3 linked regions of the Xenopus tropicalis genome follow. The protein of the gene in region 3 interacts with the protein of the main gene of each other region in a biochemical or structural test. Links are inferred from orthologs where the notes say so. Each region holds a gene or a part of one and is shown on either strand. Other genes may lie near its edges.

Region 1 (3,650 bases), on a different chromosome or scaffold from region 3:
GTGAATATTCGCGAACTTTGCGAACCCCATAGACTTCAATGGGAAGGGGAACTTTAAAACCTAGAAAAGCCATTTCTGCCCAGAAAACTGATTTTGCCGTTGTTTAAAGGGTGCCACGACCTGGACAGTGGCATGCAGGAGGGGGATCAAGGGCAAAAATGTCTCTGAAAAATACTTTGTTGACACAGCGTTGTGTAAAACCGCAAAGGCAGCTGGCAGACCTAGCGGAAATACGCAGCGTTTTTTGCTATTTCACACTATTAGCACCATGGAAACGGGATTTGCTGAAAAACGCCATTTGTGTCTTGTGCTGCGTTTTTAGGCCGAGAAAAAACGCAGCGGAAAAACGCCATGCGAACCCAAATTGCGAACATACGCGAAAAGTTTGCGAACTTCCGAACACCCGATGTTCGTGTGAATTTGTTCGCCGGCAAACAGTTCGCTACATCTCTATTTAGGAATGCAAGTGCTAAATGGATGCAAAGCCATGCTCCTATTTCTACCCCCTTAACCGGTGTAATTTGCTGTCACCCTGGATGCAAGTGCACAAGCAGCAAAACTGCACCCCTTAACACACCTTAAAAAAACACTTGTGTTATGAATACAGCACTAACAATGCAGGCAGCACTGTATTCACAAGATGGTTTTGACCTGTGCTAATTTTCCATTGTGCAGGACAGGGCACAATGGGCAAAAGCCGTGGTGGATTGCACCCCCTTTTTGAGCTTTGCTGGTAATTAATGAATGAGCCCTAATGTTATTATAATCATCTCTCTTAGCACAATATTAAATGCCGTACCATTGATTATTTAATATGCCCTTTTTGTAGAGGATATGGGGAAAACGCTGTGATTCATGTACATTAGCTAGGACATTTCCCATAGTTCTCTATGGGACATTATTTCTGATGACAGTGTTCCTCTCAGCTTCAATTGGGTTATTTAATAGTGTGCAGAAGAATATATTCTACACACTGTTCCATGCCATAGTTCCACAGTACTGTCATTTGTAAGTGTAAGAGTAACCCATGAAGACAGGATCCAGGCAATTTCCCATTTAAACTAGGCTTTCATTTTAGAAACCAAAGGTTGGCTGGGCAAATCCAACACAAGCATTCCTGCCTGGAAACACATTCCTGTTCTGCAGGTTGCTTGGGCTGGAAGCTTCTTTGTATAGACCTGCTAGCTACAGGTAAGCGCCAATAAATTAGATTGAGGCAGAAAGGTGAATCCAAACTCACCCTCTTCTTGTCTTCATCCTCTCTTTTCTTTATGTTATAGATAACTTGGAAAAGATCTTTTAGATCGACAACCAAAGGTTCAGCCTGTGGGAAAGGAGACACCATTATTTATTGGTCTGCTTAGTTCATTCTCAAGTAGGGTTGGATGGTGAAAATGAGGCTTGATGGCAATGTTACTAATTGAAAAAAATTATAAAAAATTTAGCAAGGCCGGTATTTTTTTCCAGAAAAGGTAGCCACCTTATTCTCAAGCTCAAGTTATCCGACCATCATAAGGTGAGCTATCAAATGAGGCTTCTTAATTGTCAGCGGTGACAACCCCCAAGCTCGTTTAATGTCCCACCACCTCCCTTGTAAGGCAAAAACCCCCATGAAACTCAGCCTAGAGTAGACCCTTTTCTTTAATAACTGGAGCAGGTAGGTACTGCAGTGCCCCCTTGTGGCATGACTTTTGTAATAGTAACCTGCAGCCACCTAGAACCTACCTGCTCAGTGAATTTCTACCACATTTTAGATTTTTAAAGACAGGGAGCATTGATTGGTAATAATGATTCTGGGATAAGGGTAGGCCAATCAATGAAGTATTCAAATACTGTCAATAAAGCTTTACAGAACTTGAGTCAGCCGAGGGCTCCCATGACATACCTGCTGGGCCGTTTTTATTGCGAAAAACTGGTGCTGCCCTTCCGCTCCACAAACGTATCCGAATGCGCGGTTATCCGTCACGTCTCGAGCAATGAATGAAATTTTATTAACAGGATGTTCATGCTCTATTACCTAGGACAAGACATTTCATTTAATAAAACTGCAAACACAATTCATTTTTTTAAAATATAATCAGGCTTAACAGTGCGTGTGTAATTGTTTCCAACAAAAAATAATCAGCATTTTATAACTTAAAAAAACAACAACACGTATTTGTAAATGCTTTGTGCCGTAGTACAAGAGCAATGGCATACGGTATCTAGAACCACCGGGGCCTACACATTTTAGGTTGCACCATTCACCCAGTTTTTCTGTCTAGACGTCTGCAGACAAAACACTGAGAAATCATTGATGTAAAGTCTACCATGGAACCATAAACCTATAGAAGAATAAAAGAAGCCAGGCCTAAATTGGCATCAGCCATGCAGGCTCAGTGTCAGAAGCGTATCTGAAGGGGTACGAATTGGTGCCTGCCAACCCCCCTACACAACTCTGGGTACTGTAATGGAGCAGTGTGGACATTTACATAGCTCTTCAGATTCACTGGTTACCAGCTCAAGACCCACTGGAAGATCACATTCTTCCTTTAGGTAGGACATCCATGCCTTAAGGCCTTGTTTGGCAATACCAACCAATGTAAACAATGGAAATCCAACAGCTTTCAGTCTTGCTGTGCTTTATAGAATATAGAAATACAGAATATACAAGTCATAAAGAATGAGAGAATTTCAATTAGAATGCCAATATAGTCACATAGGTGGGTTTTAATAAAGGCTTGGGGAAACCAACACAATATTATCCCTGGAACTCACACTTTATTTAACCTGCCATGTGTTCCTAGATGTATTATACATGGAACTGGCTCTGTATATATCCTGCCATGTGTTCCTGGGTATTTTATATAGAATTGGAACGGTATATATCCTGCAATGTATTCCTGGGTATTTTATATAGAATTGGAACGGTATTTATCCTGCAATGTATTCCTGGGTATTTTATATAGAATTGGAACGGTATTTATCCTGACATGTGTTCTGGGGTATTTTATATAGAATTGGAACGGTATTTATCCTGACATGTGTTCCTGGATATTTTATATAGAATTGGAACTGTATTTATCCTCCCATGTGTTCTGGGGTATTAAACATGGAAGTATTGTGTTATATATTCTGGGTTATTTTATATAGAGTTGATATTGTTGCTATCCTGCCATGTGTTCTGGGTATTTTATATAGAATTGGAACGGTATTTATCCTGCCATGTGTTCCTAGATGTATAAGGGTGAAGACACACAGAGCTACTAGTAGCAGCTACTTGTCACGTCTACTAAAATAGACAATGGTGATCATTTACTGATAACTGTCTCTACATGTGTTTTAGCAGACAATTCTCAGTATTGTCTATGGCAGGGTTTTTTTGGCATTTAGTAGCCATGATAGCTGCTACTAAGTAGCTCAGTGTGTCTTCACCCATATACATGGAATTGGTTCTGTATATATCCTGCCATCTGTTCCTGGGTATTTTATATAGAATTGCAACTGTATTTATCCTTCCATGTGTTCTGGAGTATCAAACATGGAAGTTTTGTGCTATATGTTCTGGGTTATTTTATATAGAGTTAACATTGTTGCTATCCTGCCATGTGTTCTAGGCTATTAACATGGAATTTATTTTGATGTGTGTTTTGGGGTATAATACATGAACT
Region 2 (4,294 bases), on a different chromosome or scaffold from region 3:
GGTCGCCAAGTGAGTGGATCTTCTCCCGATATCCCCACCTATGGGTGGGCGATATCGCCTAATTTGGTTGTTTGGCCCTGGGGTCAAATGATCGAATTAGAACGATGGGTATGGGTGTCCAGTGGTTCAGGGGCCACATCAATGAGCTGATGCAGTCCCCGGTCTGACTAATGTTTAAAGGAGAAGGAAAGGCTAATAAAGAGTTAATCTCAAGCTGCAGGCATACCTTCAGTTCTCTCAATAGTGCCCTTAAGTCTCCCCATGTTTCACCTGTTCAGATGATCAGAAGCCAGAACATAAAGAAAAAACGCTGAGTTGTGTAAAGAAAGTTCCCATAATGCCTCGCTCCTGCACCAAGAGCAAGTCGGGTGTACATGCTCAGTTAGTTAGACTATGAGTCAGCTTCCTGCTGATTGGCTCAGATCCACATTCCTAAAGGGGGAGTGAGTTCTTAAATTATTTAAATCAACACATAAATTTTTTAGTGAAAAGAACAGACATTTATTGCCTCAGAAAATGTAACAAAAATTCAAAAACACATAAACCATACTATACCACAGTGGAAAGGAAAACCCAGTGCCTCATGGTACCCACTCTAGGAGATTTAAATTGCTTAACTTTCAGGACCTTTTAGTGAATTTAACTTAAGTTTTTCTGCTCAATTCATGTTTTTTTGATTATTAATTTAAAGCTGGAGTGAGTTCTTAGCATTCTTGAGGGAGGGGAGAGCTGCGTGTCTCTGGCAGAGGAAAACAGACACAAGTAATCTTTTGAGAGAGAACTCAGTGCAGCGTTTCTGTCAGTGCTTATGGCTGTATTTACATAGACCTTTCTGATAAAGCTTACTTAGTTTTTACCTTTCTTTCTCCTTTAAACCGAATCAGTCTAAGGGACCAATATTGGCAGCTAGAATCAGCCCATGTATTGCCACCTTAAGTGGGGGGGGAAGCAGTTTGGGCCACTACTTACTTGAAAAGTCATAGTCTATTCTGAATCCCAGTCCAGGCCTAATTTCTCATATTGCAATAAAGGTGTACATATCCTTCTCACTTAGTAATAAAGATAGTTGAATGTTTTAAGAGTTAACCGTAAAAACACAATTTCACGCCAAAGAAACTTAATATGGAGCCTTTTAACGAAAGATAACTGTAAGTGACCCGAAAAATACGTTTACATTCCATCAGCCATAAGAAAAGATTTTTTTCTCCCTCTCTCAACTTGTCCGCTTACTCGAAGCTGTGCCAGGCAATGCGTTTCCGCGTTCCAGCTAACGGAAGTGACGCAAATATACACAGGCAAGACCCAGTGGAAAGAAAACAATCCCTGCGCTTGGCATGCGGAAGCACCTTAGTGCGCACTGGATTATTGGGGTCAGACGTTCCCTGCTTCTGTTTCTGTCACCATCTGGCTGACGTAGGCGCCTGTACCGGCAGAAGCACGCCAGCGCGACCAACGCAGCCTTCAACACAGGTAACATGTTTTATAAGGGGCACTGGGTTCCACCGGGGCAGAGCGGCAGCAGTGTATGGCACTGACCGAGTTTCTCTCTGATGGCGAACGTCAGTGGCCTTTCATGCACTGCCTGCTACTACGTAAGGGGAGCTTAGAGCTGGTAACGATACCGTAAGGGGTTGGGCTAAGCTTCCCAGCCCGTAGCGGGCAGGCTGTAAGTATATATAGGCGACTGTAGGAGATCTGTGCGAGATCTGTGCTGGAAGTTACTGGGAATGTCTGGGTATGAAGGTCAGGGCCCTCTGTGACGTTTTTAGAACGGTGTCTGGCAGTGGCATCACCAGTGGCTCCGTGTCCGACCTCAGTTAATGCTGTTACCTGTATGTATATATGTATGTGTATAGGTATATATATGTGTATAGGTTTGTGTGGGGGGCGGGGTCATTTCTTTATCAAGACTCTGACTCAGCTTTGGAAAGTAAGTGCTTGTGTCACTGCAGTACATAATAGTACAACCGTAGGAGATATTATTATTACGTAAGGGAGCTTTTTCTGGTGACTTACTGTCAGCTGCACCCCTGTCATCCACTAACTGCTGTAATAGCAACCAAGCTGTGTTAGTGGTAACATGGTTATACTCAGGAAGGTTATGAAACTGAAAGCCTTCCACTTTTACTCACCTTGTTTTTAAAAGGAAAATATAATGTTGATAAAATTACCAGTAGCCATGCCTTTTTTATGTTTTTATTTTTTTTATATTTTTTATATTTTTTTACCCGATGATTTTTTTTTCTTTTGTTTTGTTTCTATTTTTTGGGTACTATTCTCAGTAGCAAGTAGGGGCCCTGCTTTTGGAAGTAATTCAGGGTGCACCAAAACACATTTACTGAAAGAAAAGATAAGGGAGAATTAAGGTGGCCATACACGCACCGATATTATCGTACGAAACCTCGTTTCGTACGATAATCGGTGCGTGTATGGCATGTCAGCGAGCCGACCGATATCGCAGGAAGCTGCTGAAATCGGTCGGCTCGCCGATCGGCCAAGTTAGAAAATTTTGATCGGGCGCCATAGAAGGCGCCTGACCAAAATTCTCCCTTCAGAGCTGAATCGGCAGAAGGAGGTAGAAATCCTATTGTTTCTACCTCCTTACCTGCCGATTCAGCCCTGAATGGTGTGTGGCGGATCTGACGATGTTTCGTGCGACCGACGGTCGTACGAAACATCGTGAGATCGCCACGTGTATGGCCAGCTTTACTAACAGATCAAGGTTGTCTGTAGTTCCAGGTTTCCCTTGTATGCAGGTCTGTAGACCAGGCTGAGGGGACACAAATTCCAAGAAGTATATTTGTAAACTACTTTTGTTAGTATTGCTCGACTTTGTGTTAATTACATTTGTTAATGAGTGCCAGTAATATACAATTGTGTATATATAGAAGTATACAGTGTTTAGTGATTTCATTAGTTATAGTTATGCTTATGAATATAATTTCTGTCTCTTGTCTCACTGAAACTTGTGTATTGTTATTATAAATAATATACCCCCTGTGTGTAAAATATGATGACATAAAAAGTCATCTTGGAATTCCATGACCATTAAAAAAGTACTTTGCCTTCCACCTTGTTTCTTTATATGGTCATTGAACTCCTGGATGACTTATATCCTTATATTTTACAGTTGGGGTTACCTTATATGTATACAAGGATTCATCACCCCTCTTACTTTGTTTGTATATGGTAAGGCTTCGGTAAATGCAAAGCTGTGGTGATAACACCACTATCTAGTCTTGTACCTATATTTTTTGTGGGGGAGGTGGGCAGGTTATCAATGGAGCTTCCATCTGAGCAAACTTTGTAATAAGCTCTGTTTATGGTATGATAATCCTCTTTGATACAGAGGGTGACAGAACCTCTACTCTCTGCACCTTGTATTGTCAAGTGACAAATTGGTGTTCAGTAGTAAGTTTGTTGGGCTTGTTGTGTCTGTATAGCCCTGAAATCACCAAGATTATAAATTACTCCTCGTTTAATGTTATCCCTGTTTGGTTTTACATCCCTGAAAATCAGTATTTTGGGCAGTTTTGTTTAAAGCTTACTATAGTCTCTGAAGAGTTTGTTTACATAGCTAAGTTATTTGTACACCTAGATGAGGAAACACTATTTTTTCTAAACAAATTGTTTAGAGTACTTAATTTTGTGTTTTCGTATTACATATGTGTTTCTAGCATCTCTTGTTTTTTATTATTGTTCTTAGGTGATCCTTAAGGCAGATTTGTTAATTCAGTACAGATAATATGGATTCACAACTGCATTATTGAGTTTCATATATTACTGAAATTGTACACTTTAAGTGTTTTTTGTCTAAACATGTGTAAGTTTATTTTTTTATCTGAGATGTAATAAAGGGTGGTTTTAACATTCAGATGAAGTAAGCAAGCTTACAGCTTGGTTTTCTCTAAATTCTTTAGTGGGATTTCTTATACAATTATTTAGCTTTTCATCATGAGGAACACCATCCTTAATTGTGTATTATTACACATTTTCAGTTTAAGGTCATAGCCACTTGTGTTTCCTCTTCTCACAGTTATCCTATGTGGCAGAGCCCCTCAAAATGCGTTATATTTCATTTCACCAAACTGGCATGAGGTTCTGGGTCCTTTCATAAATACTAACACTGGCTTCTAGTCTGTCTAGCACCTTTGGATGACACTACAAGCTTCATAGTGGTGAGGTGCATCTCCGGTAGTACCAAGGGCTGACTCTTCATGTGTAAGACAATAATAATTAGGCAGTGTAATTTTAAAATATTAGCTAAAACCTGTTTATTTAACAGATAAGCAGG
Region 3 (4,248 bases):
GTTGAAATCGTGACATCACTAGCACCTATTGCCTTAAGCTGATGTCCATCACAATACAGACTGGGCTGTGTTTTTCACCCGAGAAGGTAGGTTTCTCTGGCTAATGTTGTTGGCAAGGACATGGATCAGGAGGTCTAGTTGCACTGCTGTTACTGTAACATGTGATCCTTGCCTGCTATCTCTTCTTCTGAGTGTATGAACTCCTGTAGCTCCAGGTGGTGCACGCTGTTGCCAAATCCCCCTTAAAAGGGAGTTCAGAAAACAAAATTCTAATGCATGTGAACAGAAAAACATAAATCTGCCCCTTAATTTTGGTGGTTTTTAAGTGTGAAATTAGAGCTCATCATAAAAAACTCACTTACTATTCATTCATTTTTAGAAGTGTATTTATAAAATGGTGAACTCAAACTTTCACTCACTAATAAAAAAACTTTAAAAAATTCCATAGGAATGAATAGAAATAGTTTTTTTCTGTAATGAGCTTTTATTTCACACTTTGATAAATCTGCCCCTAAATATAATTTATCCTTGCCTGACAGGTTACTTAGTAATTCATTTTTTAGTGCAAGAAATCAATTCTATACACTGATTTTACAACTGATTCACTGACAGGATCAATATTAGCAGGGCAATCAACTTATGCTAAATTTAAATGAGTGAGTTTTTATAGTTCAGCCAGTTTGTTAATTAGTGGCAGAATGGATTACATCAGCAGTCACCCTTGTACTCTGAAAATGTTCATCTTAATCTTTAGCCTTTATGGCTCCATTGTAACTACAACAGATAGAAATGTCTGATGTGTATCATTCATACATACACTCAGCAATTAGTAAACGCACGCCTATCCAGGCCAGTGATTTGGTATGGCGAATGCAGAAGCTAAACATGCAACACCTTGACAGGGCTTCATAATGTAAAATATACAGCATATCCCTCTGTTTGCAATATGGTGAAGACACACAGAGCTACTAGTAGCTGCTACTTCATGGCTACAGAAATAGAAAATGCTGATATATATTTACTGATAATTGTCTTTATATCTGTTTTTTAAAGAGGCAATTCTCAGTATTGTCTATGGCAGAGTATTTTCTGGCTTTTAGTAGCCGTGACAAGCAGCTGCTACTAAGTAGCTCTGTGTCTCTTCACCCTTACTCCTGTCATTACCACACTGAGCAATTCATAAAAAAACTTCTTTAAGGAAGTCCAGTGTATTTAATGAGCAGCAATAGCTGGCATAGATAGAGATAGTAGGGATAAAGTAAAGTGACTACTCCAGCAATATGAAGAAGGGATGATGTGTCAGTCTTATAACATACACAAATCTAAGTTATTTGAACACAGTAGGTACACTTGTACCAAAGTTCACAAGGAAGAGCAAAGCTGTGAACAGTGATCCTTGATACAAGAATAATACTAAACTGTAATAGACCATAAAATAAAAAAGGATTGCATAATTCCAAGTATGTCTGTGACAGCTGTATCCTTTGAAAAAGCCTCAGCCAAGCCGGCAGTATGGCATCTCTGTTGGAGCACATATCCACAGGTGAATAGCCTGAATTCATAGGTGTGGCTGCCAGGAAGCATTATTACCCTTTTCAACTCTCGCCTCTCTATTGCTACAGAACGATAAATCTAATGCACTTTGTTTGCGAGCACAGAAAGAGATAAAGTTAAACACCCATTGGACCTGATCTTAAGTATAAATGCAAAGCATGAAGCAAAGGGATCTTTTTGGATGCAGACTAAGCTATACCCCCTCACTGGACCCTCTGGACCCTATCTGAAAACAAGATATTGTTTCCAACAAGGCACAAACTTGCAAACATGTTCCCTAGAACACATTAAAAGTAAGGGCACTTGCAAATCCCAAAGAGATACATTTAGCCAAAGAGTAATAGTTTAGTTATGAGTGCAGATTAAGATATACCCATTTACTGGACTCTCTGTAACCTATCTGAAAACAAGGCATCATTTCCAACAAGGCCCAAACTTGTATATACTTTATACCAGCACTTGTGTACATAGACACGAATTATGTTCCCTAGAACAGGCACTTGCAAATCCTAAAGAGATACATAATACCAAATACTAATACTTTACTGATGAGTGCAGCCATACAGTTAAGGGTTAACCTGGAGCTGGGTGTAGTAGACATGCATAAAATAAAGCCATAGTAGGTGTTAAACTACACTTCCCAGATTTTATCAAATATGGCAAAGGATCTGCGAGTTGTAGTTCAATCTGAGAGACAACTTTATGAAGCAGACAACATCAGGCACATTTCCCCTCAGATCTATGTAGTTAAAGGCAAGATCTCTAGGGAAGGCTTTGCTAGTGGGGAATTCAGGAAGTTCCATATTGGATCTCTGAGAGGCAGAGGAAACATCCTGGAAGAGAGAGAGGTCCATGAGGATAGGGAGGGGGTGGGAAATCGGGCTGAGTAGAGAAAACTGGCCAAAGTAGCAGCGCACACACTGACAGCTCCAGCGCACAGAGCTAGATACCAGGGAGAGTTATGGAAGAGCAGATCCCTGCGGGGGGCGGGGGTAGGGGGATGTAAGAGGATGCAGTGCAAAGATCAGCACTATTTATCCCCGGCCTTTACAGCACCGGGACTCTCTATTTACTCACCCCGACCTTCGCTTGCAGCCCCAAACGCACTCCGGCCAGCAACGATAGGATGAGCGGCCGACAAGGTCCAGAGCACCGGACTCGCTCTGTCTCTCACCCAAAACTCCTTCTCAGCCGGCCAGCTAAAGCTCCCCTCAACTCACCGCCCAGTGCTGGAGCCCAGCCGCTGCTAACGTCACCGGGCGGGGCCAATCCCACAATGTGACCAGGAAGGGAAGGCGGGGCCCGGATCTCAGCACCTGGACAGGGACAGGGAGGGGACAGTGGCCTCACCCAGTACCAGTTCTACTCGCTGTCCTACTGGTGGCACGGGGGATGGGTACCTGCTGGGGCTCCCAGATGGCTCAGCCACATGACCTTTTCCCCCTCTGTGTGGGAAACACCTGTCTGCTAATGTTCTCAGGGGATTTAGCTGCAGGGTAGGGAAATAGCTCCGGTGCGTGGGGCTTCAGTCTGGAGTGGACTGTAAATGATATGGTACGGCTGAGTAAGGCTTTTGGGGGGCTTTCATGTGCCAATTGGAGGGTGAGTTGGCTAAGTTGGAATGTAGTATGGTTGCAGTGGGCACCAGCTGTAGAAGAGTAAGGTGTTACTGTACCGGGCACTGACAGGCTATTCTAGCAGATATGGTTGCACCGCCCATAGTTATTGCTCTATCATGGAAAGGGCAAGTGCTGCTACATTAGCCATATCTCTGTCTCATCTACGTTTTCTTTGGCTGTGACCCCTTGCCCTGGCTTAGTCTTTACTGCTATCTTCTCTTCCAGACTAGCGGGTGAGCATTTTGCATGCATCTACCCACAGCCATTCTACCCACTGCCATTCTACCCACTGCCTTTCTACCCACAGCCATTCTACCCACTGCCATTCCACCCACTGCCATTCTACCCACAGCCATTCTACCCACTGCCATTCTACCCACTGCCATTCTACCCACTGCCATTCTACCCACAGCCATTCTACCCACAGCCATTCTACCCACAGCCATTCCACCCACTGCCATTCTACCCACAGCCATTCTACCCACAGCCATTCTACCCACAGCCATTCTACCAACAGCCATTCTACCCACAGCCATTCCACCCACTGCCATTCTACCCACAGCCATTCTACCAACAGCCATTCTACCCACAGCCATTCCACCCACTGCCATTCCACCCACAGCCATTCTACCCACTGCCATTCTACCCACAGCCATTCTACCCACAGCCATTCCACCCACTGCCATTCTACCCACTGCCATTCTACCCACAGCCATTCTACCCACAGCCATTCCACCCACTGCCATTCCACCCACAGCCATTCCACCCACTGCCATTCTACCCACAGCCATTCCACCCACTGCCATTCCACCCACAGCCATTCTACCCACAGCCATTCCACCCACAGCCATTCTACCCACAGCCATTCTACCCACAGCCATTCCACCCACTGCCATTCTACCCACAGCCATTCCACCCACTGCCATTCTACCCACAGCCATTCCACCCACTGCCATTCTACCCACAGCCATTCCACCCACTGCCATTCCACCCACTGCCATTCTACCCACAGCCATTCTACCCACTGCCATTCTACCCACAGCCATTCTACCCACAGCCATTCCACCCACTGCCA

Evidence for each region.
Region 1: the proteins of myo6 (region 3) and dab2 form a complex in vitro, tested with the Homo sapiens proteins (7 studies listed by BioGRID). The link is inferred for Xenopus tropicalis from reciprocal best matches to the Homo sapiens genes MYO6 and DAB2.
Region 2: the proteins of myo6 (region 3) and tax1bp1 form a complex in vitro, tested with the Homo sapiens proteins (5 studies listed by BioGRID, with this or other methods). The link is inferred for Xenopus tropicalis from reciprocal best matches to the Homo sapiens genes MYO6 and TAX1BP1.

Annotation. Positions count from the first base shown.
Region 1 is NC_030677.2:196,571,013-196,574,662, reverse strand, and holds part of dab2 (disabled homolog 2), read right to left. Parts: intron 2,018-3,650; coding exon 1,886-2,017; intron 1,325-1,885; coding exon 1,241-1,324; intron 1-1,240. UniProt on the Homo sapiens protein: Adapter protein that functions as a clathrin-associated sorting protein (CLASP) required for clathrin-mediated endocytosis of selected cargo proteins.
Region 2 is NC_030682.2:42,513,411-42,517,704, forward strand, and holds the start of tax1bp1 (tax1-binding protein 1 homolog), read left to right. Parts: upstream 1-1,358; 5' UTR 1,359-1,470; intron 1,471-1,527; exon of another isoform or gene 1,528-1,666; intron 1,667-1,745; exon of another isoform or gene 1,746-1,820; coding exon of another isoform or gene 1,821-1,832; intron 1,833-4,294.
Region 3 is NC_030681.2:90,641,808-90,646,055, forward strand, and holds the start of myo6 (unconventional myosin-VI), read right to left. Parts: upstream 2,868-4,248; 5' UTR 2,632-2,867; intron 1-2,631. UniProt on the Homo sapiens protein: Myosins are actin-based motor molecules with ATPase activity. Unconventional myosins serve in intracellular movements. Myosin 6 is a reverse-direction motor protein that moves towards the minus-end of actin filaments.